Lonchura striata: one gene and its partners. The protein of the gene in region 4 purifies or fractionates together with the protein of the main gene of each other region. This does not show direct contact. Links are inferred from orthologs where the notes say so. Each region holds a gene or a part of one and is shown on either strand. Other genes may lie near its edges. The genes, in order: TRAF3IP2, MALT1, MAVS and IKBKG.

Region 1 (6,890 bases), on a different chromosome or scaffold from region 4:
TGCACATGCTGAGATCTCAAGGAATGCTGTTGCCACAGGGTGAGATGAGTGTAAGTGTGCAAGAGCACTTGCTCTAAGTGCAGCTTTCTCTACAGAAACACTAGACATAACTTTCCTCACAAAAAACCAGAGAGAAATCCTTACAGGAGGAGCATGTACAAATGTGGGAACTGGTTTGGGTCTACACTTTAAATAAGCACTGCCAAGGAAATCCAAGCTTCAGAATTTTGCACTTCACCGTGAGAAATTTCGGCTGCTGTCATCACAGATGCTCCCCTCTCCCTTGGGTACCCTCCACAGCAAAGACTAAGGACATGTGTCACATTCCTAGTCCAGACTTTTAGCCCTCTAGGGCAGGTAATGCTTATTTTCATGACTTCTGGAAAAATTAGAAAAATAGTATGTTCCTCTGGCTATATGGTTGCTCTCATGTACTTTCTGAAGCCATGGCAGGAAAATCTACATGTGCCAAGAGAACATACTTCAAACCCTGTCTGCACAGCAAACTTCACATTCTTTTTTGCACCACTAATGCTGCTTCAGTGGACAATCCACAGTGCAAAGGCTAGAGCAGACCTGGTATTTTTTGCCTTTTTAGTGTAGACATTGATATACATGTTGAAGGAATGCTGGCAGTAAGTAGTAAGAAACTAGAAGGGTGACACCCCTCTAGCAGGGTCCAAACAGGCACCTCAGATATAGGCAGCATTCCCTGCCAGCTTTCTAAACATTGTGAAATATGAAAATGTCTACAATTATCTTTAGTATCCTTAAAAATGTGATTGTTTTCCAGAGGCTACTTCCCACCCATTTTTGGTGCTGACAAAACTCTCACAGGCACTTAAGAACCCCCAGCCTGGGATATCCCAGGGCTCGGGGACATCCAAAACTCCTGTCACCAAACTGGGGCTGTCTCAGTGGGGTGGGATGGAGGGATCACCCTGAAAAGCATCAATTTCTTCAGCCTGCTTTGCTACAGCTTCATGCCTTACATCGAAGACTGTGGCTCCCAAAGAGCCCCTGGTATTTCTCAGGGCTGATGTCTCTCCCATCCGTAGCCACTCTCCCTGCTCTGCAGCACGAGGGCTGCGGGAGCGTGGGCGGCAGGAGGCTGAGGGAAGCCTGCGGGACCTGACGTGTCTCCCTCGGCTGGCGTGAGAACAGCCTCGCTCACTTGCAGTCATGAAACGTGCAGAAATGTGTGTATCTTTCAGACATGTACCCTCTGCCAAACTTCAAAAGCCACTGCTGGGGGTGGGGGGCACTGACAGACACGAACACCATAATTGCACATGCCTTGCTTCCTGCCTTAGGAAAACAGAAAGAAAACTCAACTCCATCGGAAAATAATTTAAAAAAAAAATATATATACAGCATGCTTCCAGGCACTGCCAGCATTCTGCAAGGACAAGGCTGGTTTCAGAGGCTGATGGCACTGCAGGCAGCAGCATCACTGGCAGCAACTCACCCACCCTGGCCCAGCCGCACGTGCCCCTCGCATCCCTGTCTCTGGAATCACCTGTCATAGATGTCACAGCAGCAGCTGGTCATGGTGGGGCACTGGTGTGGCCAGTCCAGGCCTTGAACCCACCCAGGGCTTGCAGGGAATGGGAATTTCTGGTCTCAGCGTTACTGGTGGTGGTTGAGGACCAGTAAGCTCAGATGTGCCAATCTCAGCGCCCAGCCAGTGCTAACCCTACAAAACCTGTATCCTGAGACTGGGTGAAATGGGAACGGGTTTTATATGGAAGCAGGTTTTATCCTAATAGAAAAGAAATACTACCACCTTGCTCCCACTTGTTTCTGTGCCAAGGCTATATAGAGGATGGGGCAAAAAGCATCTGTGATCCTGTTTTCTTCACACCTTGCAGCCACCTCTCCCTCACCAGGTCTATGGACTTGTCCTATGCAGCCCCGGGTCAGCTGGGGAAGGGAAGGGAAAGGAAGGGAAGGGAAGGGAAGGGAAGGGAAGGGAAGGGAAGGGAAGGGAAGGGAAGGGAAGGGAAGGGAAGGGAAGGGAAGGGAAGGGAAGGGAAGGGAAGGGAAGGGAAGGGAAGGGAAAAGGAAGGGAAGGGAAGGGAAGGGAAGGGAAGGGAAGGGAAGGGAAGGGAAGGGAAGGGAAGGGAAGGGAAGGGAAGGGAAGGGAAAGGGAGGGAAGGGAAAAGGAAGGGAAAGGGAGGGAAGGGAAAAGGAAGGGAAAGGGAGGGGAAAGGAAAGTGAGAGGGAAAGTGAGAGGGAAAAGGAGAGGGCCATCGGCCAACACACCACCTTGAGCCTGCAGAACCGGACAGGGCGGGATCGGGATCAGGCCTGGCCGCCACTCATTGCCAGGAAACTACGTAAATAGGCAGGACAACATTTCGACACCAGGCGTGTCCGTCCCCTGTGTTTACCCCAAACCCCTCCTGATTTAAAAAAATTAAAAGAACAAGAACCAACAAACAAAACAAACTGCAGCGAAATGGCTGAAACACCTTGTAACCATCTGTGAAAGCCGGGCTCCCATGCTCCGAGGAGGGGGAGAAAGCGAGCGAGGCAGCAATTTTGGGGGGTTAGCCCGGCGAGAGGCAGGCGCGGGTCAGCACCGAGGGCGGCAGGGCCGAGGGAGGCGGCGCCGCTGACCCTGCTTACCTTGCGGGCGAGGGGTTCGCGCTGGGCTGCCCCGGACAGCGAGAGCGCTGCGCCTCCCGCTCCCGCCGCGCCCGGGGCTCCTTCCTCAGCCGGCCGGGCGGCCTTCCCTCCTTTTACGACACGCTCCCAGCCTCTCCCAGGTGAGCGGCAGAACTGGCCTGCAGCAGGAAGTGGAAGCGCAGGCCGGCTCGGCGCGGTGGCGCCGGGAAGCGGCTCCCGGCCGTGCCTGCCGCGCTGCCGCGCCCGTGGGTGCCGCGGCTCTGCCCGAGCGCCGCGGCCGAAGGGCGCAGGGCAACCCCGGCGTGATTCCTAACCCGTGCGCCTCGCCGCGAAAGCCATCCCTTGCTTTCAGCCCTCGGCCGCTTGCTGTCAGGGCCAAATGGTAAATCAGCTGTGATTCAGACGGTCGAAGAGAATCACATGACGCGTGTGAGAACTATATAAAGAACAATAAAAGGATTTCTCGACTGGTTCTTTCTTTTATATTAGCTTTCTAGACACTTCCAAGTTTCTACACTCTCAAGGACCAGAAAATCGCTTTTCCTACAAGCTGAAACTTTGTGTTCTCCCAGCTCCGGAGATGCCCGGTGAGCTGCCCCAGGAAAGCCGCTCTGGCCGCTTTTATCCCAGGCCACGCCACTGTCCTGACCCCCACGCAGCGCATCTCCCTGCCGAGAAGCTCTTCGTGATCTCCAGCCTCATTTTCTTAGTTTCACCCTAGGAGGACGTTCTGGCACGGCTCCCCACCCTCCGGGTGGCCGCAGGCGGACACCGCGGCTGCCTGGATGCCTGGCAGGTCTGCCTGGCACAGGGACATGGAAACCACCCCCGAGCTCCGAGCTCTGGCAGTGCCACCGCTGCTCCTTCCTGTGCCCCTCCAGTGACACGGGGGGCCGAGGAAGGGGGCACATACCCAGCATTCCTGCCCTCGGGAAGGGCTCTCTCTGCACGCCCGCCACTCTGCCAGCCCCTCTTTCTGGTCCAAAGGCAAAGCAGTGACCCAGGCAATTATCTCCTCTCATCACGGAATGACTGCCCACATTTTTGGAAGTTGCCTTCAGGCAGCTGGGAGCAGGATGTGCCCCCAGCTGAGCACTAAGTGTGATTGTATTGATGGCAGTGCAGTGATGCCCTGCAGCCTGGGCTTACCTTCCCTGGTGAGAAATCCCACATCAGTCTGGCCCTGGAACTGGCCATCCTGACCCCCTCCTTCCCCGCTTTCTGCCTCCTGTGCCAAGGCAAAGGCCAGCAGGACACCAGGGCTCCCTTTTGGAGCACTCTGAAGTTGTCCTTGACCGCTGCCAGACTCCCTGGAGAGTCCCTGCTGCTCCCAGCCAGCCCCAGATGTGATGAGCACTAGATGCTTACGGCTGGAGTGGCTGCATTATGACCACAGCTGAAGGTTTAATCCCTCTGGCCTGGCCTCTGCTGCACAGCTGTTTTGCACCATGAGCACCCTGACAGCCGGCATTTTCTTCAAGGCTGCCTGAGCCCCGAGTTGCACCGCACTGGGCTTGGGTGGCTGCCTCTCCTGCCGGCTTTCCCACCGGCCTCCAGCTCAGGAGCAGTGATGGCTCCACTGCCACTGGTGTGCCACAGTGGGTGAGGGCGGTGAGGGGCCCACGGCCACACAGGAGCCAAAATCAGGACCTTGTTGAATGTTGACAGGATGGAAGCAGGGAGGGAGAGTTGCTCTGGGGAGCACCTGACCTTCCTGGGATGTGTGTGAGGGATGTATGTAGTGTTTGCTGTGCAACGACCAGCTCCTCAGGGAATGCAAGCAGCATGGGGACTTGGCAGACAGAGTGTCCCGTGGAATGCTTCATCAATACCCACATCTGTGGGGTTTCTTTATAAAAGGTTCTGCTATGGAGCCATCAAGCACCTCTCTTCACGCCGTGGATGGCCTCCCTCACTGACAATGGGTATGGACAGTCCTCTGTTCTCCGCTGGTCAAACCCTGGACACTGGTCTGTAACATCCAGCAAACAACAGTGTCCACCTGCCACCCCTGTAGACAGCTGTCGGTTGTCCAGGAGAGGAACATTCTGGTTGTGAGATCTGTCACTTCAGCTCCAGAAATGCAGAGATCTAATGATGTCTGCAGATGCGGCCAAAGAACCAGTCTCTGTCCCCTCTTTAACTTGCCAAGCCCCAGAAAACAGCAGATATTTGGAGCAGTTTCCTTTCTCTTGAGAATTATGTACTTTAGACAAAGAGGGGAAAAATAGCTTGAAAGTCACACTCTGTTGAATCTGTTAACAGCACTGTCTGCTGAGTGGGTTTCAAAGGTCCAGCCCAAACCTCAGTACACTCCCACAAAGCTGTAGAAACTGTTGTCAATTAACTCATTTTTGGATTAGGAAACTTGGACAATAGATACCCAAGTTAATTTTAGCATTTCAAAAACCTCCCTCATCCCCAAAACTGAAGCCATCATAATTGCCTTCTGAAGGCCTCCTTTATATATTTGAAGTCTTCCTACCCTACTGACTTCACTCACTGAAAGCCAGATAAAACTCTGAACTCTCTAAAGTTAGAATCTCATCTGTACATTATTTACAAGCAGAACGTGATGAGTCATATTGGGCCTGTCATAGAAAGAACAGATTCAAGTGCAGGATGGTTTTCTTTGTCAAGGCAAGTAACACGGACCATTTTTTTCTTTTTAAAATCCATTCCTTATCCGGCAGGAGTTGTAATATTTCTTTTTTCATTAGGAAGAAAATGTTGGTATTGAGTGCCCCGTCTCATATTTCTTACCACATCTCTGTTTTTGGAGAAATAAATAATGAATATTTTTGCTTCCAAATTATTAACTGTTTAAATAGCGCACTGTCATGTTACTCCTCTTTTAACATTGGTGCTGTGAATTAACCTGGAGACATTGCAGTGAGCCTTTAACCCCCTCTGCCTCAGCATAATGCACTGGTCTCACTCTGGTTCTCTGCATGTCCCTTGCTGCTTTTGCACTGTGAGGAAAACCGGGACTTTCTTCTATGTCTTGCTGTTTACATTGCTAGGCACATGCCTGCGAAAATATTTTCCACTTATTTTATTTTAAGGCTCTTGCTTTGTCAATTTTCAGTCACACCCTGGAGAGACACCTGAAAGGAAAGAAAACAGTACCTGGATGTTGGCTTGTGCAATGCATGTAATTAAACCCTGCATAATGACAAAAACACCTCCTGCCATTTGTTAAGATTTTCCCCACAGCATTATGTATCCTCTTAATTAAGAGCAGAAGCTAAGTAATACCTATTTTATTCCCTCTTGCATCCAATTAGTCACCCATTGATCATTACCCACTCAACATTTGACAATTAACAGAGCCCCCATTCTCTGCAGGACAGGGATGTGTAGTCCTTCAGAAATGACACGTCCAGAATAATGTGATGGGAGCTGTGTGGATGAGTCATGGGGGGAGGGGAGGAAAAGGCCACCCAAGTGGAACAAAAGACATGTAACATATGCAAATGTTCAATATGTGGAATGTGTTTTATACACTGGATATATATGAGGTCATAGACAAAGCTCAGCTGGTGGCTGCACTCCTTTTGGGAGGCATGGGAATTTGAGGGAGCACTTGAGCACTTGTGTGATCAACCGTAGCTAGTCCTCTCTGTTTAAGACACAAAGCTGTTTCTCCACTGTCACTGGGACTATGGGCTGTAGCACCACAGCCCCGGAACCCAAGTCACCCCAAGACCTGTCAGCAGCTCCACACACTTGTGCCTGAGCTGCTGCTAACAGAGCATGGCAGCTCTGGGTGTCCAAAGGGCCTCCAGGGAAGCTGCAGGTCCCTTCTGCATTGCCACTCTCTCCTGGAAGCCTGTCCCAGGAACAGTGATGGCCCAGGCCATGTGTGGTGCCAGGAGCGGTGTGCTGGGACCCCTGCAGCCCTTTCCCAACACCAGAGACCCTCCTATACGAGTAGCATTTTCTAGCTGGGGAAATCCAGCTGCCTGTGGAATTGAGAGGCAGCCCAGAGCCTGAACTGCAGCAGTGAATAAAGCACAGGGACTGCCAGGGCTCAGAGACAGGCCTCTGGCATGAGGCTGAGCCCCAGTAGTCACAAAACAGCCCTGCATTCTTTTTTCTTTTTCCAGATTAGAATTCATCCATTTCAGGGCTCAGGAATTTTGTGTGAAGCTGTGACAGTAGGTAGCTAAGCAAGGCTCTGGGTGCATGAGCTCAGCAACAAATGCTGATGCACAAAAAAGCAAACCAGAGCCCTTGGCAAGCTCTAGCCTGGCTGT
Region 2 (7,553 bases), on a different chromosome or scaffold from region 4:
TTCCTAATGTCAGAAAAAAATTAACTGACAAAAATATATAAACTTGATTAAAAGGTGGCCATTACATTTTCTCTCTTGCATCACATTTTTCCAACTTTATTAAATTATTAGCAAAACAAAAATCTTCTTGTGAAAAATTACCAGATATTGGCTTTTGCATTTATGTATTAGCCCATGCTTGTTGTTAGTGATTATAACTATTTTGAAATAGTATCAATTATAACTCTTTTCAGCTGCATGTTAGTATAATATAATCTATCACCTTAAGCATGCACTGTATTGCTCATAGAAATAGTAGTGCAATGAATATAATAGCTATGTATCACTTATGGAAATAATAGTGTGTTGAATGTACTGTGTTATAGACCTTAGCAAAACATAAGATGGGAAAAAAAGGCTTTTGTGTAACCAAAAACAGTGTAAGGCCATCCAACCTGTCCAAGTGCTAAGATAACCATGGCACAAACCAGAGCACCGGAGCACAATTAGAGAATACCGTGTTAAATTTAAGGAGGACATACTAAACCCTTATCAGAGGATGTGAAACAGCAGGATGGAGACACAAGAAAATATATTGACCTGACACCCAGGATGTCATGCAGATAAGCCGGAGTATGAAGAAGTCAGACAAAGAAGTTCCCAAAACATCAGAAAGTTCAAAAGAACACTTGAATTATGCATGAAACACAATAATATGCATGTATCTTATTGATATAACAGTATAAAGATAACATTGTCTGTATGCCCTCCCCCCCCACCCTCATGGAAATACTGTCCTTTTTTTATCCTATTACTATAATTATTATTATTTTTAGACTTCTAAAAACTCTAAGCAGTGAATTCTGTTTTTCACATTCATTTGTAAGCAATTTTATATTCACAGAAATTATTTATACGGGAAGCTTATGCATTTTAGCAATCCAGAAGTGAATTTGTGCCTTTCTGTGAGGTTCATGTCCTCTAGAGTCAATGGAAAAATCCCCTTTATGACATCCCTGAAGCATTTTTCCTTTGCTTAAGATCTATTCATGGAGTAATCTCTGTTTTGTGTGCAGGCCCTTTTCAGTAGTGCTCCTTCCTATCTTTCAGCAGCACTCACTGGTCCCTGACCTTGCTGGAGCTGTCCGCCCACCCAGGAACCACCTCCCGTTATCTGTGCAGCCCCAGCTCTGGGCTCAGGGGCCCGTCCCACGCATTTCCGTGGCACAGTGAGCACCTGGTCAATGCCCACCCCTCGATGGAGCCAAGCTGTGACCCCCACAAAGCTCCCAGCCAGAGCAGGTCCTGCCAAGGACCTGCATCACACCCACCCAGCCAGAGTAGTGGGAAGAGAGAGGCTGAGTGAGCCCACACGGGGGATATCAGCAGAACACCAGGGGAATGACACTGATCATGCACAGTGGTTCACACTGGGGAATAGCCTTTCATCAACCAATACTTTGGGCTCTCTATACCGAGCTGACAGCAGTTCTGGGATAGCTGAAGCAAGAGAGAGCGCAAATGGAACACCTTGAGCAGCATACTTGTCAAAGAGTGCACAGTGTCAGAAACCAAACTACAGAAACACTGTATTATCTAAACCAGTTACCACACTATCTATTGGATTAATAAGGTCTAGGTAAGAAAAACATCAGTGAAGTTGTGGCTGTTCAAAAAGTAGATGTCTGGAAAATATGCCCTTGCCGAAAATTCTGTGATATATTGAGGTTCTTCAACTGCCAGTATCCAAGGCTTTTTGACAACATTTTGATTAGTGCAGTACCCGCTGTAAACAGCCCCACAGTATAAAAACACCTCATCCATAATTTATCAGCTAAATGGACTAATAAATTACTGGCTCTGCACATGTCAAACAAACACCTTAATATAGAGTAATTAAAATAAGCAATCACAGCACAACTCTTAACACTGATCTGTCTTAATCTATTTTTAACACCTGTCAAGCATCTGACCCTGTCAGACTGAGCAATTCATGAAGATTGGGAATCACCTATTACTACCAAGTGACCAGACCTTTTCCTCAAGAATGGAGGAACCTTTTATCTAATGCATATTAGGCCGTGCTATAAATATTTAGAATTTAGAATTAATAAATGTGTCTTTCAGGATACCTGGTATCACTTACACACTCTTTAGAGAAGGAAGCTTGCTTTTGTACAATTTTTGCAATTTTGTCTTAATGAGACTTGGTGGAAATAGTAGCAGAGAGTAATTTCAGAAACAGTGAGCAGATTTATAAATGCAACATGCTTAGAAACACCCAAATCTATTGGGATAAACAAAAATGGCTCTTCTTTAGCAGAAGGAAATACCAAATCCCATTTCCTGGTCAACAGCAGTATAAATCAATCCATTGTAGTGCACTGATAATAAAAGTAACTTGCTCTTTTTCCTTTATTAGTCTTTTATGATACACATTCTATTTGCCCAGGAGAAAAAAAGCAGACAAATAATTTTCAAAGTCCAAACACCCCGACCCCTCACTTACCCTTGAGCTCTTTGTGGATGTTCTGGGATAGGCTGGTCCTGGGCTGGGCCTCCCCACTGGAGACAAAGGAGGCTGAATTTGTGCGCGTTGTTAGGAGCTGCAAGCCAGCCGACAGCTTCACCGGTGTTTTGGAGTGCGATCTCAGGATAGGGAGTCTGATCACTGAACAGTTTGACTTTTAAGAGAGACGATTTCATTACATGCAGCAGATGGCCCTTCCTGGGAAAACCTCTGCCAGACAGGGAGTTGGCAGTGAGGAGAGGGCACATCCTACTTCCATAGAAGTCCATAGGAATTTCCTAATGGCCTTGAGACAGAGGAAGTGTTGGCCTTAGTTTTTCATAACAGAGCACTGGCTTGTTTTTTGAAGCATGTGCCTAACTGCTCTTCTAGGCAAGTTGGGAATTTCTTACTTGCTGGACGTTAGGCACACAAAAGTTCTGCTGAGCATGAGAAAATCCACAGTGCCTAACAAGCAGGCTGAGGAAATCAAAGGTGGACAGTGGACTTCTCATAATCTCTACACAGAAATTCACCTTATCATCTTCATCCCTCAAAGGCAAATGAGCAAATCCTGAAGTAAGAAAGTATTTCCACTCTTGGTACCCAAGGAGACAAGTCTCACACATGGCAAACTGGAATGAATTGCACAAACTGCCCTGAGTTTAAGGGATCTGGAAGAGGCCGAAAAAACAACTTTTGTGCCAAGTTTTTTCTTAAGCATTTTGAAGGACACACAGCTAAAACTGGTTACAAGATCCTACTGTGCTAAATACTTCTTGCTCCCAGTGTTATCTAGACAGATAGGAAACTGTGGTCTTCAGCAGTAAATATAGCACTTCCAACCACCCTTATTCAGAAATAGCAATAAGAATATCTATGTTTTATAGACGAGCCTAATAGGCAAAGAAATGAGAGGCAGCCACATTCAAATCAGAACAGTTTCGGTTGGAAGGGACCTTTAAGGGTCATATAGCCCTACACCAACATGGGCAAAAACACCTTCCACCAGACTAAGTTGCTCCAAGCCCCGTCCAACCTGATCTTGAACACTTCTAGGGATGGGGCATCTACCACTTCTCTGAGCTACCCAAATGCTTGATCACTGATTAAAAATGTTTGTAAAATTACTTTCTTAGGCACCTTCAGTCCACTTTGAGCAAGTCGCAATACCAGAGAGGTGAGAATTCGCTTCAGATCATCTGTTTGCAGTGATAACGATCACTCAGGGGAACATCTCGGGAGGCTCTTCCTGAGCAGTTCCTCCTCTCCCTCGCTGAGGACGCAAGGTGCCTTTACGCTGCACGCTTCGACAGTGGCAGCAGGCTGAGAAAAGCTGTGTAAAGGAAGAGAGTCCATGGTCGTACTGCTCGCGGTCAGATAAAGACGTTTCTCCTCAAGGCGAGAGAGAAACAGCTCTCGGGTCTTGTGGGCTTTGTCTGGTTTACGCCCCAGCCCCGGTTGTAAAGCCACGTTCGGCCTCCTCAGCACCACCCGGGAACGCTGCAGGAGGTCTCGCGCTCGCACAATACGCCCATTTCAACAGGGGTACGACCGCGCCTGATCTGTTTCCTCACGGTGCCCGAGGAGGACTACGGGATGTCCCGGGGGCGCGGTGCCCTCAGAGCTGGGCCCCCTCAGAGCTGGGCCCCCTCAGGGCTGGGCCCCCTCAGGGCTGGGCCCCCTCAGGGCTGCGTCCCCTCAGGGCGCGGAGCCCTCAGGGCTGGGCCCCCTCAGGGCGCGGAGCCCTCAGGGCGCGGAGCCCTCAGGGCTGGGCCCCCTCAGGGCTGCGTCCCCTCAGGGCTGGGCCCCCTCAGGGCTGCGTCCCCTCAGGGCGCGGAGCCCTCAGGGCTGGGCCCCCTCAGGGCGCGGAGCCCTCAGGGCGCGGAGCCCTCAGGGCTGGGCCCCCTCAGGGCTGCGTCCCCTCAGGGCGCGGAGCCCTCAGGGCTGGGCCCCCTCAGGGCTGCGTCCCCTCAGGGCGCGGAGCCCCTCAACGGGGCTGTGCCCCCTCAGGGCGCGGTGCGCGCGCTCCCCTCAGCCGTACCCGACCCAGCCGCCCCGTCCCGCGCGGCTCTTCCTTCCGTGCGGTAGCACCGCCCCGGCGGGCAGCCATGGAGTGCGGCGCGGCGGGGCCGCTGCCCCTCAGCCGCCTGGCCGGGCCGCTGCTCCGTAGGCTCAGCGAGCTGCTGGACCGCGCGGCGCCCGGCAAGGGCTGGCGGGAGCTGGCGCAGCGAGCGGGGAGCCGCGGCGCGGTGCGGCTGAGGTGAGCGCGGGCAGCGGCGGGGCGCGGGCAGCGGCGGCGGGGCGCGGCCCAGCGGTGCGTGTTTATCTCTCTAATCCCGTAAAACACTGAGAGTCCGTCCACTTCATAAGTGAAAGTATCACCACATACTGAAGATATCTCGTCCCCAGGTTTGCGTAGCTCTGTGATTTAAGGAAGGAAACGTTGATTAATCTTTTTAGTGGAAATATGTAACTTTGTATTCTCTTTAGGCAGTTGTCATTATTTCTTTTTTGTGTTGATTGAATGCCTGTGACTGAAAGTGCGTGACAACGACACCAAAGTTGAAACTACAAGTTCAGACACAGGTGACTACGCTGTACAGTCGGTGTGTTAGGCTGGACTCCAGCAGTCACTTGTTTACAACAACTTTAAAATCAGTCTTCCTGTACTTTGAAGTTAAGAGTCTGACTCGCTCTCTACGGCTTCTGAGTCAGGCTCATAGAAATGAAAGATGCTGTACTACTTTTTCTGCTGACACTTTAAAAGTGAAAAATAGGAGGTTTCTTAATACATTTGCTGAAACTTGTGAGGTATATGCATCTCTTATACCATCCAGCTCACTAATACCACTTTCTGTCTGCGGAGGTGTCACTGAATAACCTCTGTACTCCTGAAACTTGAAGGAAATGCTGCAAATATGTCCAAATCAGCTGGGAATTTCCCATCTCTATTTTTATTTATCTACAAGTGATTGTTTACCCGGGTCCTTTCTGAGAAAAAGGTATTGAGAAGGTCTATGCCATGTCTTTCTCACATTATTCCATAGCCCTCTCGACTTGGAGCAGTGTTCCCTCCAGGTGCTGGAGCCAGAAGGCAGTCCTAGCTGGAGTCTCCTGAAGCTGCTGGGGGATCGGGGCTGCACTGTCGTGGAGCTGGCGGAGTCCTTGCAGGCCCTGGAGCACACAGAGGCTCTCCGGTGTCTGAGCCACTCAGGTCAGTTCTGGGCTGTGCTTTCACTGCGGCCCTGGATTTTACACTGGGAACACTCAAGGTAGCACTCTACAGTAGCGAAAAGCAACTTTAGTGCTTGAATTCTAGCTAGTTGGGATCCAGATGATTACCAAGGTTATTGGCTGATCTGATTCTGAGGTTAAATGTAAGCCAAACCTTCGTGCAGTGTTGTTGAAGACTTGGACTTGGCTCCATGGGTGTGCTGGGCGTTGTCATTCTGTCTGCTGACTGGGGTTTGGTCTCAGCATGTGCCTCTGGGAGATGCTTATGGACCAGAGATGGACAGACAGGTAGTGCTGCCAGCACTGGAGTCTGGAGGTGTCAGTAACTTATCCCAGGTGAAGGGGAAGGGTCCAGTTAGGGCAGATTATTAATAAGATTATGAATACTGAATCTGCATGGTTTCAAAGTCCAGTAACCATAGATGTCACTTTGCCATATTCAAAGGTAACACTTATGCTCTGCATTTTCCAAGGAAAATGGAAGAAATATTTATGTGTCTTTGTAATCTATCATAAAATTGAGCTGGAAGGTTTTTCTTTTTGAACTATTAAATTCCATGGTACGTGCAGGAAGTGACTGTGTAGTGCTGAATAAACCACAGGAAAGGAACTGAAACTGGAAAGAAATTATGGATCAGATTTCTTAGAACTTGTTTGGAATGCTTCTGATGAGTGCAAAATGCTTATCTTCCAGTGGATTTTTCTCATCTATGTTCTTAAGAGCTGTTTGTGATGCAAATTGGGGGAAATTAAAAAAAAAAAAGTGGAAGTTTTGGAAAGAGCAAGCCTTCTTAATTTTTCTGTCCTTTAAATTGAAATAGCATAATTACTTTTCTGCTGGTTAATGTTAGAGGACTGTGATGCTCAAAAACAACACAGTTTAACTGCAGAAAGTGGAAGAGGAAGTGTTAAACAAGGAGTTGAGGTACTGATCTCCAGTGCTAGGTGTAGAAGGAAGTGATTTTGGAGTAAGGAAGGCAGGGAATTTCAAAGTGCTGCAGCTTTTTTGGAGTAGCTGCTGGTGTGTTCTACTCTTTCAGAGTAATCATGTGAGTGGAGGCAGCTGATGGAACACACTGCTCTGCCAGGCAAGGTTATGTGATTTCCAAACGCCGTGTGCTCTCCGTTTCAGGCTGTTGTCTCTGTAGGTTCTGGTCTAGTTGGACTATCCAGAGCAAAGAATGTTTCAAATCATGATTTTTAAATGTTCCGTTCTCCTTCTTCTGATGACTTTGGCTATACCAGTGGACCTGGTTTTGGGACCATGCTGTAACAAGATCTGGAATACCTTAGGTTAAGAAAATAATTGCATCATATTGGAGTGGTGTCAGTTAAGATTTGAAATAGAAAGTTTTACCTTGCAGAAAACCCCAGCCCTATGTTCTGCATGAATCAGAGGCATAAGAGTGTATAAGGAATAGCAGGAAAATGTGCTCTGTTGGACTTAAACTCTGACTGCTTTGACTCCCTCAGGCTGGGCCTTAATCTGAACAGCTCAAAAAAAAAAATCGTTGGGAGTGAACAAACATTTAAAACTGAGAATATCTTTCCAAAAAGGGATCTGTGATACCATGAGACATATTATTTCCTTTAAAATTAAAATATCTGAATGATATACTTTAAACCTTTTATGAGCTCCATCGAGTACTTATCGATTTGAGCATGGATTTTGTGTAGTGGAAGACAATTTTGAATGTCTTAAAGTAATATAACTAATTGGAACTGTGCGTATACACAGTACAAACAAATTATTTTCAAGTATATTTAATGACAGAAAGGTTCTGTGCTCCAAGGGCAATTTAAATGCAAATATAAATTATGGACTTGT
Region 3 (7,537 bases), on a different chromosome or scaffold from region 4:
TGCTGACCATCACTGGCCTGGACGGTTTTTTCCAGTGCTTGACAACCTCTTCAAAAAGAAATTTTCCCTACTATCCAATCTAAACCTCCCGCAAAACAATTTTCCTTTCATCCTGTTGATTGTTAGCTGGGAGCAGAGCCCAATCCCCACCCTGCTCCACCCTCCTTTCAGGGAGTTGTAGAGAGTGAGAAGGTCTCCCCCGAACCTCCTTTTCTCCAGAATGAGCTCTCAGAGCTGCTCTCCACCCTCCTTTCAGGGAGTTGTAGAGAGTGAGAAGGTCTCCCCCGAACCTCCTTTTCTCCAGAATGAGCTCTCAGAGCTGCTCCTCATCAGACTTATGCTCTAGAGCCCTCCCAGTCCCATTCCCATCTCTGGATGTGTTCCAGCATCCCAGTTTCTTGCAGTGAGGGGCTCTCAGCAGCACCTCCTGCTCCCTAGTGGCTGCCAGGTTCTGCCAGGAGGGAAACCCACCTCCACTCCCTGGGTGTTCTTGCAGCATCCCAACCCGCTTCTTCTCCACATCAAACTGCTCCTGTATGAGGAGGGGGCTGCGCACATCCACGAAGCTGCCCGTGGGCTCACCATGCCCAGAGCTTGGCACAGGCTGCTTTTTTGGCACCGAGTTTGGGGGCTGCTGCCCCACACCACGAGTGGCTCCCTCCAGCCTTGGTGGTGACTCTGTGAAGATATCCGAGCTCTCTTCGGGCTCATTCCTGGCCTGCCCAGGGCTCTGAGTGGCACCTGCATCCCTCGATGGAACAGACCTGCCCAGGGCCAGGCCCGGCGTGCCGCGGTGCAGGTGGTTTGCATTCCCAAAAAATCCGTTGTCCACACACACCGGCCGGCGGCTCAGCCAGTCCCGGCCCTGCTCTGGGGACACGGCCGGTGGCACGGCCACCCCTGATGTCCCCTCTGACACCGGCACGGTCCCGGAGGGGTGCGAGAGATTCCCCTCTCCACTGTGCCCGCCGCTCACTCCGCTGTGGACTTTGCTCTCAGGTGGAACCGGCCGGGGATTCTCTTGCTCCGGGAGTTTTTTGGGGAGCTGGAAGGAAATGGGTTGTGTTAAATCACTGGGATTGAGGGGGTTCACAGCGGTGTTCTAAAGCCTGAGCAGTGACCCCTGCAAGGCTGGTTATGAATGGGGTCTGGGGTCTCTCTTTGGGACCCACCCAAGGGTCTGGGGTTGTGGAGAGAAGCCTGGATTGGTGGCAAAGCAGAGCCTGCACTGCTCCCATGGAGGGAGACATGAGAGGGAGCAGTTACAGGGCCATATATCAGCAGTAAATTACCAGATGCAGCAGAGATCAGCAGCAAGCAGCTGCTCGGGGTGGCCCTAAAGGAGCCTGGCCCTACCACAGGTTCCCAAAACCCAATGAAAAGGTCTCAAAGGGATCTTGGTGTCCCCATCCAACATGTGCCCTGCTCACCGATTCCTGCACCGGCATTCTGGCCTCCAGCTCCGTACTTGTGGTGGTGCCAGCACTGGGAAGGACAGGTGGATGGTCACCAGTGGTCAGGTCTGGGCGTAGCCGCCCAGCCGAAGGGGCAGGATTTGGCCCCTGGGATGGTGTCTGGGCACTGATGGAGGAGGCAGTGGGACGGGCATCACTGGGAAGGGAGGAGGCAGCAGCAGGAGCTGAGGAACCTGGAAGAGACAGGCAGATCATTGTGGAAAAAACTGAGGAAGCAGAGGATAAGTGCGGGGCTGAGGCAGCCCTGTGTGTGTGTCCATGCTCTGTCCCCACATCAGCCAAGCCCACAGCACCCCTTTGTTATCTTTCCATCTTCCCTCAGGTGAGAACCCCAGCCCACCACCAACCCAAGCACCTTCAAATCATCCTCAGACATGTCACACAGTGAAGGACATCCCTGGGACAGTCACACACACCTCCAGCACCCTCGGAAGCTGAAGCAGGGACAGAGATGTCATGTCCCCACCTCCAGCAGCCCACGGGGCACACCCAGGAAGGATGAGGCTACATACGAGGTCGAGGTTGCCAGGTATCATAGACTTCCTGCAGCTCATCAGCCAAGTGCCCTGCGTTATTCTGGTGAAGTGCCTGGATGAGATCCTGCACCCAGCCCTTCCGGCACCTCAAGTGCTGATAGAATCTAAAGACAGCTGCCTGGTTGCCCCGCATCTCCTCCCGGGCAAGGAGTTCATCCTAGGAAAAACACACAGGGTATCTAAGAGAGGGTCTGGCTTAGAGGTAAGATAACTCTATGCTGCCATGGGGGAAGGAGCCTGGCAGAGCTCAGGAAAATAGGAAATTACTCTGTCAGAATCGACCAGGCAGGTCAGGGAATCGGCCAGCGACGCCACTCGGATAGTGCTGAATTTCTTGAGGTTTCTCGTAATGTGGGTGTACACTTTGTCCTCAGCCAAACCCATCGTGGCTCAGCACCTGCAGGGGGACAGAGACCTCGGGTGAGCAGAGGCTGCTGGCGAGCCTCAGTGCCCTGGCACAAACACTGCCATGATGAGACGGGAAATCCTGTCGGAAACCACGCGCACAAAGTTCGCTCGGCTTTAAGTTCAACGCTCAGCTTCACTTCCACACACACCTCGCTCCTTCCCACCATAAACGCCGTGTTTATTCCCACTCTGCTTGTTTGGATTCACCCGGCGGGTTGGGCGTCACGACAAAGGAAAAACAGGCGACACGGCCAAGACAAGCGCCAGGGGCCATGGCTGGAATCCCGCATAAGCAATGTAAAAACCAAAGGGGAAGGCACAGAGCTCCTTCCACAGGGAACAGCGGCCCGCAGGCGCGCCCACACCAGGAGGGCCCCGCCGCCCTCAGCGCGACCTTCAACCCCCGGGGGATCTCCGGGAGGTTCTCCGCTCGCAGATCCCCCTGTCAGGGCGGCCGGGGGTGGCTGCCGGGGCTGTGGCGGCCGTGGGGGCCGGTGCGGTCCCGCCATCCCCCCCCGCCGCCCTCACGGCCCCTCAGGGCCCCTCACCTGCGCCCGCCGCCGCCGCGCGCCCGCCGCCGCCACGGCCCCGCCCCCTCGCGTCGCGGCCGCCGCTGATTGGCTGCGGCGCACGCCCGTCACCGTGATTGACAGGGCGTGGGGACACGTCAGGGGACTGCCCTTGTCTGCCCTGAGGGGTTCTGACCCCCAGGGGAGCTCTGACTGTGACCCTCATTCGTGGAGAAAACTTCCAAAGCCTCAAGGTAAACTAGAAACCACCAAAGTGTGAAGTAGATTGTAGAGGGTAATTTAGTATGTCACATGGGTGAGGAATTTAGGTGTTAGGATTTTTAGTGTGTTATAGATGGGTTCAAGATGGAGGATATAGGGTGTTGTCTCGAATTCCTCTCCTCTCTTCTTCCTCTTCCTTCTTGGGTTTAGGTGGTATCTTGTAATGGGGTAGAAAAATCCACATTGCGGGTCTTTAGGGGTCAGTTATTGGGTTAGAAAGGAAAATAATTTAGGTGTCACTTCTTAATTGGGCAGCTTTTGATTAGACGAGGTTGTTGGCCATTTTTGTGCTGTTTTCCAGCATGCAAGGTCTGGTGCAGACAGCGTGCTGAAGTTTTGATCAGGTAACAATAAACAGAAGATGAAGACGGAAAAAGTCCTGTGTGTCTGCTTTTGCTGACACAGAACTGCTCCAGGGAGTTGCCCAATTTGGGACCCCAAACCCACAACAGGAGCATGGACAGGTTCCCAGTCCCTCGGGACAGCGGGAGCGGAGATCCCGGAGCGTGGCCAGCCTGGGGACACTGTCCCCCTCTGCCAGGGGACACTGTGGCAGCAGGGCCTGCTGAGTCCGGAGAAGAGGAGACTCCAAAGCCATCTCACCAATCCATAAAAACATCTCCAAGCAAAGGTCACAGGATGGTGCCAGACTCTTTCCCGTGATGCCCAGCGACTGGACAAGGAATAATACAAAGATGTCTGAAAACTAGGGGAACGGGAGAAGTTTCACACCCCAAAGCTGCTCCACTGACAAAACAAAATTAAAATGAAGATGGATGATTCCATTCTCTTCCATTCTATTCTATTCTATTCTATTCTATTCTATTCTATTCTATTCTATTCTATTCTATTCTATTCCATTCCATTCCATTCCATTCCATTCCATTCCATTCCATTCCATTCCATTCCATTCTAACCATTCCCCCAGCACTGCCAAGGCCATTATTAACACATATCCCCAAATGCCACATCCAAATGGCTTCTAAATCTCTCCAGGGATGCTGACCATCACTGGCCTGGACAGCTTTTTCCAGTGCTTGAAAACCCCTTCCAAAAAGAAATTTTCCCTACAATCCAATCTAAACCTTCCATGAAACAATTTTCCCTTCATCCTGTTGTTTGTTACCTGGGGGCAGAGCCCCAGGTAGCTTCACCTCAATGTGACAAAGAACTTCTTTATGTTTTGGGTAGCAGAGCACTGGAATAACTGCCCGGGCAGGCCATGGAGTCTCCCTCTCTGGAGACCTTCCAAACCCACCTGGACACATTCCTGTGTCACCTGCTCCAGGTGACACTGCCTTGACAGGGGGTTGGACTGGATGATCTCCAGACGTCCCTTTGAACCTCAGTTTTCTGTGATTCTGGGAGCTGGAATATGGTCCTTCATGTGAGCAGTGGCACAGTTTATCCAGAAAATCCTCATCCCTGGAAGTGTCCAAGGCCACAGGTGATGGGGCTTGGAGCAACCTGGGATAGCGGAAAGTTGTCCCGGCCCATGGTAGGGTGTGGAACGAGATGGTCTTTAAGGTCCCTTCCCACCCAAACCATTCTGTGATTATAATTAATTGAATCCAGCTTTTCTCATTCTAAGTCATAAAAATCGATCATATTTCTGGGTTGTTTCTATAATTAAGAAGAGATCAGTATAATGATAAAATTTACCACATGAAAAAAAAGCCACTCAGTAATTCGTGTTCACAGAGTTGCAGAATTGTACAATCATAATCATAGAATCGCAGAATGGTACAATCATAATCATAGAATCGCAGAATGTTAAAGGTTTGGAAGTGACTTTAATCATCCCAAGCTGAGTGCCATGGGTACAGACAACCCCCATTAGACCAGGTTGCTCAAGGCCTTATCCCACCTGGGTTTAAAAATTTGCAGCCTTGGGGCAACCACAAATTCTCTGGGCAACCTGTTCCTGTTCTCGCCGCGGTCACAGCAATATTAGTGGATATAATAATATCCAATATAAATAATATAAATTCCTCCTGTTTCAACTCGTACACGTTACTCCTTGTTCTGTCTCCGCACCTCCTTCCTAAGAGTCTCTCTCCGTCATTCCCGTAGTATCCCACCAAAGCTTTTCCTTTGTCATTAATTCCCTAATGAACAGTCAATAGTTAATTAATTTCCCACTCCGGAATTTTGGGAAGCGGAATCGGGAGCTGAAGAGCGGAGGAGCGGGGGCGAAGGCGCAGCGCCGCCTCCGCGCCACCAGGGGGCGGCACCACCCCGCGCCCGGGGCCCGCCTGGCCACGCCCATGGCCACGCCCCGGCCACGCCCCCGGCCCGGAGCCGCGCGATGGCGGCGGCAGCGGGCGGGCGGCGGCGGCGGCGCCGCTGAGCGCCGGGAGAGCCCCGAGGGGCGGCGGGGGCTTCCCGCACCCCTTCCCCTTCCCTCATATCCCCCTCCCCTTCTCCCCCGGCCCCCCCCACCCCGCGCCCTCCCCGCGCGGCGCCGTCCATGGTGACGGGCGGCCGAGGCGGCCTCGCAGCGGAGCCGTTCGGGCGGGAGGCGGCGAGGGAGCGGCGGGCGCAGGTGAGCGGGGACGGGGTCGCGGGGAGCGCCGGGGGGGCGCACCGGGTTGTTGTGGGGGCCCGGGGGTGGCGGAAGGGGCGGGGGGCGCGACCCACGCGCGTCCGTGGAGGTGGGTCGCCCCCACCCTGCCCACGCTGAAGTGGGGGGTTAGCGTCTGTATTTTTGGGGGTGTATCTGGCAGGGAGAATGGTGATTTCTACGAGTGATCGCGGGCTGGGGCTCTTGGGTTTGCTGCCTTGGAGCGAGTCCAGACGAGGCCACCAAGTTGATGGGAGGGATGCAGCACCTCTCCGGCGAGGAAAGGCTGGGAGAATTGGGATTGTCCAGCCTGGAGGAGAGAGGGGTCCGGGGACACCTAATGGGGGCCTCTCAGTAGTCGAAGGGAGCCCGCAAGAAAAATGGAGAGAGACTTTTTACAAGAGTCTGGGGTGACAGGATAAGAGGGAATAGCTGCACACTGAAAGAGAGTATGGTTAGATTAGATATTAGGAAGAAATTCTTCCCTAGGCAAGTGGTGAGGCCCTGGCACAGGTTGCTCAGAGAAGCTGTGGCTGCCACTGGATCCCTGGAAGTGTTTAATGCCAGGTTGGATGGGGCTCTGAGCAACCTGAGCTAGTGGAAGGTGTCCCTGCCCGCGGCAGGGGATGGAACAAGATGAGCTTTAAGGTCCCTTCCCACCCAAACCATTCCATGATTCTGTGAACTTGCACCTGTGGGTCTGCAGTGACCCACGGGGTTGGGTACGGAAGTCCAAGCTGAGGACACCCATCCAAGACCCAAAAAACATCTGCAGGGCAGGGCCACCATGGCCACCATCTCCTGCCACCACCCACCACCACCCTGCTGCAGGATGGCCAGGCTCCCTGGACACCTCCACTCAGGACTCTGGGGCTTCTACTCCTGACCCACGGTCAGACCATGTCCCCCTTGGCAAATCCAGGCCATGCCAGTGGCCAAAAGCTTCTTTTGGGACCGATATTCCAGCTTGGGGGCTTGTGTCCTGGCTGCCCCCTGGGCCATCCCTCTCAGAGATGCTCCAGGCTGTAGCACTGGAAGGGACACCATCTTTGCTGTGGGGTCTGAGGGTTCTGTCCTTCCTTCAGAGCTCTGTCCCCTTCTCCCTGGCTCTTTCTGCTCCTCAAAGGGTGTGTCCCCTCCTCGCATCCCAAACGGGAATCCCAAACGGGAATGTCAGTGCTGCCCCTCTCCAAGCTCTCCCACGCTCGGCTAGCTGCATCCTCCCTCCTCGGCCAGCACTTGCTTGTTTCTGATCTTGGATGTCATCGAGGGTGGAAAATGTGACAGGAAGGAAGGGAGGCTTTTTTTCCTCTCCTGCTAAATATGGACTGACATTAAAAATCCAAATACTGTCGCGAAAGGAATCCCAAACTCTGTTTGTCGAGGGAGAGAAAACGATGGTTTCTGCCTTTTCGGTTCCAGCTGGGAAGTTTCGCAAGGAGTGGTGGAGTCCTTGCCGGGAGCCTCAGGAATTTACTGAGCTTGTTCACAGGACGCTCTCCCAGCGTCTTATGCTAAAAAAAAATTAGTCATCCCTTCTCTGCCTGCTCGTGGCTGGGGGGAGCTTGCTGTGAGCATGCAGGATGCTTGGAAATATTTAAGGATTTCTTCCTCCTGTACAAGGAGTTCTAGAAACGACAGGAAATAAAACTGCGGCCCCAACAGGAGTTTTTCATCTTTATTTTAATTCCTGTTGCTGCAGCAGCCAGTGGCAGGGAGGGGAAGGATGTGCTCAGGGGTGGGGGCTGCAGCCAGGTTTGCAGA
Region 4 (7,126 bases):
GGGGGACACTGGGGACATCAGGGGGACATTGGGGACATCAGGGGCACCCCACAGGAGCTGGGGGGCCAGCGAGGGGACACGGGGAGGGGACACAGGAAGGGGACACGAGGAGGGGGACACACACACCTCAGTGCTGGCGTCAGGGCTGCTCCTGCAGATGTCCCCAGGATCCCTGAGAGTGTCCCTGAGGGTGTCCCTGATGTCCCCAGCAGTGTCCTTGGTGTCCGTGAGGATGTCCCTGATGTCCCCGGGGGTGTCCCTGATGTCCCCGGGGGTGTCCTTGGTGTCCCCAGGGGTGTCCTTGGTGTCCCTGATGCCTCCAGCGGTGTCCCCGGCGGTGTCCCCCACGTCCCCGGCGGTGTCCCCGACGTCCCCGGGGGTGTCCCCGACGTCCCCGGGGGTGTCCCTGCCGTCCCCGGGGGTGTCGGGGGTGTCCTCAGGGCTGTCCCCGGGGGTGTCCCCGCGCTGTCCCCGCAGGTGCAGCACCAGCTCGCGGGCCTGTCCCCAACGTCCCCAGAGCAGCTCCCGCTCGCCCCGGCGCTGCTGCTGCAGCTTCCGCAGCTCCTCCAGGCGCTGCCGCAGCGACTGCGTGCAGTGACACAGGGCACCTGGGGACAGGGACAGTGACACAGGGACAGCAGTAACACAGGGCACCTGGGGACAGGGACAGTGACACAGGGACAGTGACACAGGGACAGTGACACAGGGACAGCAGTGACACAGGGCACCTGGGGACAGGGACAGTGACACAGAGACAGCAGTGACACAGGGACAGTGACACAGGGACAGTGACACAGGGACAGTAACACAAGGCACCTGGGGACAGGGACACAGGGACAGTGACACAGGGCACCTGGGGACAGGGACACAGGGACAGTGACACAGGGCACGTGGGGACAGGGACAGGGACAGTGACACAGGGACAGTGACACAGGGACAGTGACACAGGGACAGCAGTGACACAGGGCACCTGGGGACAGGGACAGGGACAGCAGTGACACACAGGGACACAGTGACACACAGGGACAGCAGAGACACAGGGCTCCTGGGGACAGGGACAGTGACACAGGGCACCTGGGGACAGTGACAGGGACAGCAGTGACACAGGGACAGTGACACAGGGCACCTGGGGACAGGGACAGGGACACAGGGCACCTGGGGACAGTGACAGGGACAGCAGTGACACAGGGACACAGTGACACAGGGCACCTGGGGACAGGGACAGTGACACAGGGACAGTGACACAGGGACAGCAGTGACACAGGGCACCTGGGGACAGGGACATTGACACAGGGCACCTGGGGACAGGGACAGTGACACAGGGACAGTGACACAGGGCACCTGGGGACAGGGACAGTGACACAGGGCTCCTGGGGACAGGGACAGTGACACAGGGACAGTGACACAGGGACAGCAGTGACACAGGGCACCTGGGGACAGGGACAGCGACAGTGACACAGGGACACAGGGCTCCTGGGGACAGGGACAGTGACACAGGGACAGTGACACAGGGCACCTGGGGACAGGGACAGTGACACAGGGACAGTGACACAGGGCACCTGGGGACAGGGACAGTGACACAGGGCTCCTGGGGACAGGGACAGCGACAGTGACACAGGGACACAGGGCTCCTGGGGACAGGGACAGTGACACAGGGACACAGGGCTCCTGGGGACAGGGACAGTGACACAGGGACAGTGACACAGGGCACCTGGGGACAGGGACAGTGACACAGGGACAGTGACACAGGGCACCTGGGGACAGGGACAGTGACACAGGGCTCCTGGGGACAGGGACAGTGACACAGGGACAGTGACACAGGTACAGTAACACAGGGACAGTAACACAGGGCACCTGGGGACAGTGACAGGGACAGCAGTGACACACAGGGACAGCAGAGACACACAGGGACAGCAGAGACACAGGGCTCCTGGGGACAGCAGTGGGGACAGCAGTGACACTGGGGACATTGGGGGCATGAGGGACATTGGGGACTGGGGACACTGGGGGCACTAGGGACACTGGGGACACTGGGGGGACTGGGGACACTGGGATGCTGGGGGCATATTTGGGACATTGGGGGGACTGGGGACATTGGGGACATTGGGATGTTGGGGGCATATTTGGGACATTGGGGACTGGGGACACTGGGGGGACTGGGGACATTGGGATGCTGGGGGGACATTGAAGGAAACTGGGGATTTTGGGGGGACTGGGGACATTTGGGACATTGAGATGTTGGGGGGACACTGGGGACTGGGGACATTGGAGGGATTGGGGACATTGGGGTCATCAAGGAGAACTGGGGACATCGGGAACTGGGGACACTGGGGGGGCTGGGGACACTGGGGGGGACATTGGAGGTGCTGAGGGGACATTGGGATGTTGGGGGGACATTGGGATGTTGGGGGGACATTGGGGACACCGGGGACTGGGGATTGGGGACACTGGGGAAATGGGGGGGACATTGGAGGTGCTGAGGGCATCGGGGACACTGGGGGGGACTGGGGACATTGGGGACATTGGGGGGACATTTGGGACATTGGGGACTGGGGACACTGGAGGGGACATTTAAGGTGCTGAGGGTATCGGGGACATTGGGGACGGGGGGAACATTGGAGGTGCTGAGGGGACATTGGGATGTTGGGGGGACATTGGGGGGACACTGGAGGTGCTGAGGGGACATCGGGGAACATTGGGGACATTGCGGACTGGGGACATTGGGACATTGGGGGGACATTGGGGGGACCCTGGGGACGGGGGGGACCCTGGAGGTGCTGAGGGGACTCGGGGGACACTGGGGACACCCCAGTGGGGACACGGGGACACCTCTGGGGACCCCCGCCGTGCCCCCCCATGGTCCCTCCCGGCCCGGCCCGGCTCTCACCCCTCAGCTCGCGGTTCTCCGCCCTCAGCCGCTGCAGCGCCTCCGCCAGCGCCGGCTCCGCCTCGGGCCCCGGCTGCACCATCTCTGCGGGCCGCCGCCAGCGCCCGCCGCTCATCGGCGGCTCCCGGGCGCGCTTCGGGGCCGAGTTCGGGGATTTTTTTTTTTTGGGCCGAATTCGGGGATTTTTGGGATCCCGGCGGCTCCGGCGGCGGCGCCGCCGCCACTTCCTGCTTCCGCCGAGAGCGCGTGACGTCACCGCGCCCCGCCGCGCTTCCGCCTCGGTCGATGTCGTGGCGGCGCCATAGCAACGCCGAGGGCGGAGGGCGCCGATTGGTTACGCCTCCGCGCGTAGCCCCGCCCTCCCTCGGCGATGATTGGTTGAGGCTGGAGAAAGCTCGGCGGTGATTGGTGGGTAAGGGGACAGGGCGTGGCCTCTGTGAAGGGATGGGGACCCGCGCGAGCGTGAGGGAGGCGGCGCGAGCGCGGCCGGAGCGGGAAGGTGCGGGGGGAAATAATGGGGAAATAATGGGGAAATAATGGGGAAATGTGGGGAAATTCGGGAAGACGTGAGGGGATCTGGGCTCTGGGATAATCCGGGGGGTCCATGGAGGCCTGGAGGGGAGCGTCGGGGGGAACCTGAGGGGGAACGTGAGGGGCTTTAGGGCGGAAATGGGGGAGTTTGGGGTCTGTGAGGGATCTGAGGGAAATTCGGGGTCTGAGGGGGATTTGGGGGGGGTTTGGGGGGAAGTGAGGGCGGAAATTGGGAGTCTGGGGGTGTCCAGGGGTCCGTGGGGGGATTGAGAGGAAGCTAATGGGGGGAGAAGGCGGAAATTGGGGAAATTTGGGGATCTGGGGGGGATGGGGAGGGGGTTAGGAGGGGGATGGGGGGCTGAGGGCGGAAATGGGGGGGATTTGGGGGATCTGGGGGGTCCAGGGGGGAGATTTGGGGTTCGAGGGGTCAGTGGGGGTTCGGGGGATTTGGGGGTCCTGGGGGGGAAATTTGGGGGAACTGGGGCGGATTTGGGGGGGACAATGGGGGGAGGGCGTGTCCTGCCCCACCCATCCCCAAAACCCCACCCCGGGTGCCCAAACCCGCCCCAAAACCTCCCAAACCCACCCCAAAACCCCCAAATCCCATCCCCAGGTGCCCAAACCCGCCCCAAACCACCCCAGCCCTGCCCCCCAGGTGCCCAAACCCACCCCAAAACCCCCAAATCCCATCCCCACATCCCCAAACCTGCCCCAAAACCTCCCAAACCCACCCCAAAACCCCCAAATCCACCCCAAAACCCCCAAATCCCATCTCCCGGATGCCCAAATCCACCCCTAAAGCTCCAAATCCCATCCCCAGGTGCCCAAACCCTCCCCAAAACCCCCAAGTCCCATCTCCACATCCCCAAACCCGCCCCTAAACCTCCCAGATCTCATCCCGGGGTGCCCAAACCTGCCCCAAAACCTCCCAAACCCGTCCCTAATGCTCCAAATCCCATCCCCAGGTGCCCAAACCCACCCCTAAACCTCCCAAACCCTCCCCAAACCCCCCAAATCCCATCCCCACATCCCCAAACCCACCCCTAAACCTCCCAAACCCGCCCCAAACCCCCCAAACCCCATCCCCAGGTACCCAAACCCGCCCCAAACCCCCCAAACCCCATCCCCAGGTACCCAAACCCACCCAAAACCCCCAAATCCCATCCCCCGGGTGCCTAAATCCACCCCAAACCCCATCCCCAGGTACCCAAACCCCCCAAACCCCGTCCCCAGGTGCCTAAATCCACCCCAAACCCCATCCCCAGGTACCCAAACCCACCCCAAACCCCCCAAACCCCATCCCCAGGTGCCCCATCCCACCCCAACCCCCCCAAACCCCATCCCCAGGTGCCCCATCCCACCCCAAACCCCCCAAACCCCATTCCCAGGTACCCAAACCCACCCAAAACCCCCAAACCCCATCCCAAGGTACCCAAACCCCCCAAACCCACCCCTAAACCTCCCAAACCCACCCAAACCCCCCAAACCCCGTCCCCAGGTACCCAAACCCACCCCCAAACTCCCCAAACCCCATCCCCAGGTACCCAAACCCCCCAAACCCACCCCTAAACCTCCCAAACCCACCCAAACCCCTCAAACCCCCCAAACCCCCCAAACCCCATCCCCAGGTGCCCCATCCCACCCCAAACCCCCCAAACCCCATCCCCAGGTGCCCCATCCCACCCCCCCAAGTGCCAGCTGTGCCCCCCAAGTGCCCACCCGTCCCTCCGGCTGCCCTTTCCTGCCCCGCAACCGCTCAAATCTTGTTCTGGGCTGGCCGAACCTGTTCCTCTGCTCCCCAAATCCCTGCCCGGGGTGGCCGAACCTGCCCCCCGAGTGCCCGGTCCGGCCCCCCGAGTGCCCGGTCCGGCCCCCCGAGTGCCCGGTCCGGCCCCCAGGAGCGATGCCGGGCTCGGCTGAGGCGGCGCCGGCCGCCGGGGGGGAGCTGAGCCGCTCGCAGGTGTGCGGGATGCTCCGGCAGGAGCTGAGCCGGGACGGAGCCTTCCTCCAGGGCCACCCGCACGTCCTCGTCATCCTCGGCGCCTCCGTGAGTGGCCACGGGGCAGAGCAGGGCTTTGGGGGGGTTAGGGGCAGGAATTCGGGGTTTGGGGGGGTTAGGGGCAGGAATTCGGGGTTTGGGGGGCTTAGGGGCAGGAATTTGGGGGTTTGGGGGGGTTAGGGGCAGGAATTCGGGGTTTGGGGGGGTTAGGGGCAGGAATTCGGGGGTTTGGGGGGGTTAGAGGCAGGAATTCGGGGTCTGGGGGGGTTAGGGGCAGGAATTCGGGGTTTGGAGGCAGGAATTTGGGGGTTTGGGGGGGATAGGGGCAGGAATTCGGGGTTTGGGGGGGTGTTAGGGGAAGGAATTCGGGGTTTGGGGGGCTTAGGGGCAGGAATTTGGGGGTCTGAGGGGGTTATGGGCAGGAATTCGGGGTTTGGGGGGGATAGGGGCAGGAATTTGGGGTCTGGGGGGGATAGGGGCAGGAATTTGGGGGTCTGAGGGGGTTAGGGGCAGGAATTTGGGGGTTTGGGGGCAGGAATTTGGGGCTTTGGGGGGGTTAGGGGCAGGAATTCAGGGTTTGGGGGGGTTAGGGGCAGGAATTTGGGGGTCTGAGGGGGTTAGGGGCAGGAATTCGGGGGTTTGGGGTGGTTAGGGGCAGGAATTCGGGGGTTTGAGGGGGATAGGGGCAGGAATTTGGGGGTTTGGGGGGGTTAGGGGCAGGAATTTGGGGGTTTGGGGGGGTTAGGGGCAGGAATTTGGGGGTCTGAGGGGGTTAGGGGCAGGAATTCGGGGGTTTGGGGGGGTTATGGGCAGGAATTTGGGGGTCTGAGGGGGTTATGGACAGGAATTTGGGGGTTTGGGGGCAGGAATTCGGGGCTTTGGGGGGGTTAGGGGCAGGAATTCGGGGTTTGGGGGGGTTAGGGGCAGGAATTCGAGGGTTGGGGACAATTGAAGGGGCTATGGGGCAGAAATTTGGGGGTTTGGGGGGGAAATGAGGGGGTATGGGGAAGAGATTCAGGATTTGGGGGGGTTAGGGGCAGAAATTTGGTGTTCAGGGGGAGGAATTGAGGAGCTAAGGGGCAGAATTCGGGGTCTGGGGGGGAATTGGGGGGGTTGGGGACAGAAATTTGGGGGTTGGGGGGGTTAAAGGGAATTGGGGGGATAAAGGGAATTGGGGGAGGAATTGAGGGGGTTGGGGGGAAATTGGGGGGCCGGAGGAGCAAAAAAGTGGGAAGCAAATCTGGGGGGAAGTGGAAGGATATCGAGAGGTGGAAGAAAAATTTGGGGGCAATAAAGGGATTTAGGAGATTTGGGGAGAAATAAAGGAGATTGGGGGGTTGAGGAGGAAGTTAAAAGGGTTTGGGGGGATTTTGGGGGGCCTTGGGGCAAACTGAAGGGGGTTCAGAGGAATTGGGGGAATTTGGGGGGATTTGGGGTTATTTGGGAGGTATTTGGGGGGATTTGGAGGGATTTGGGGTTATTTGGGGGGATTTGGGGTTATTTGGGGGGGATTTGGGGTTATTTGGGGGGATTTGGGGTTATTTGGGGGGGATTTGGGGGGGATTTGGGAGGGATTTGGGGTTATTTGGGGGGATTTGGGGTTATTTGGGGGGATTTGGGGTTATTTGGGGGGATTTGGGGTTCTTTGGGGGGATTTGGGGTTATTTGGGGGATGGGGGAGGGGCGGCCACCCGCTGCCTCCGGGGGAG

The links.
Region 1: the proteins of IKBKG (region 4) and TRAF3IP2 purify together in Homo sapiens (affinity purification with western blotting; 3 studies listed by BioGRID, with this or other methods). This does not show direct contact. The link is inferred for Lonchura striata from reciprocal best matches to the Homo sapiens genes IKBKG and TRAF3IP2.
Region 2: the proteins of IKBKG (region 4) and MALT1 purify together in Homo sapiens (affinity purification with western blotting; 4 studies listed by BioGRID and IntAct, with this or other methods). This does not show direct contact. The link is inferred for Lonchura striata from reciprocal best matches to the Homo sapiens genes IKBKG and MALT1.
Region 3: the proteins of IKBKG (region 4) and MAVS purify together in Homo sapiens (affinity purification with western blotting; 4 studies listed by BioGRID and IntAct, with this or other methods). This does not show direct contact. The link is inferred for Lonchura striata from reciprocal best matches to the Homo sapiens genes IKBKG and MAVS.

Annotation. Positions count from the first base shown.
Region 1 is NC_134605.1:68,416,657-68,423,546, reverse strand, and holds the start of TRAF3IP2 (E3 ubiquitin ligase TRAF3IP2), read right to left. Parts: upstream 3,009-6,890; 5' UTR 2,632-3,008; intron 2,316-2,631; exon of another isoform or gene 2,269-2,315; intron 1-2,268. UniProt on the Homo sapiens protein: E3 ubiquitin ligase that catalyzes 'Lys-63'-linked polyubiquitination of target protein, enhancing protein-protein interaction and cell signaling. Transfers ubiquitin from E2 ubiquitin-conjugating enzyme UBE2V1-UBE2N to substrate protein.
Region 2 is NC_134642.1:368,399-375,951, reverse strand, and holds the start of MALT1 (mucosa-associated lymphoid tissue lymphoma translocation protein 1), read left to right. Parts: upstream 1-4,547; 5' UTR 4,548-4,599; coding exon 4,600-4,751; intron 4,752-5,538; coding exon 5,539-5,705; intron 5,706-7,553. UniProt on the Homo sapiens protein: Protease that enhances BCL10-induced activation: acts via formation of CBM complexes that channel adaptive and innate immune signaling downstream of CARD domain-containing proteins (CARD9, CARD11 and CARD14) to activate NF-kappa-B and MAP kinase p38 pathways which stimulate expression of genes encoding pro-inflammatory cytokines and chemokines.
Region 3 is NC_134606.1:3,104,414-3,111,950, reverse strand, and holds the start of MAVS (mitochondrial antiviral-signaling protein), read right to left. Parts: upstream 3,011-7,537; 5' UTR 2,968-3,010; intron 2,409-2,967; 5' UTR 2,396-2,408; coding exon 2,279-2,395; intron 2,169-2,278; coding exon 1,988-2,168; intron 1,649-1,987; coding exon 1,431-1,648; intron 1,046-1,430; coding exon 472-1,045; intron 1-471.
Region 4 is NC_134638.1:2,065,119-2,072,244, reverse strand, and holds the start of IKBKG (NF-kappa-B essential modulator), read right to left. Parts: upstream 3,003-7,126; coding exon 2,888-3,002; intron 609-2,887; coding exon 551-608; intron 407-550; coding exon 127-406; intron 1-126. Other genes in the region: G6PD (glucose-6-phosphate 1-dehydrogenase), read left to right, coding at 3,332-3,386, 5,317-5,465. UniProt on the Homo sapiens protein: Regulatory subunit of the IKK core complex which phosphorylates inhibitors of NF-kappa-B thus leading to the dissociation of the inhibitor/NF-kappa-B complex and ultimately the degradation of the inhibitor.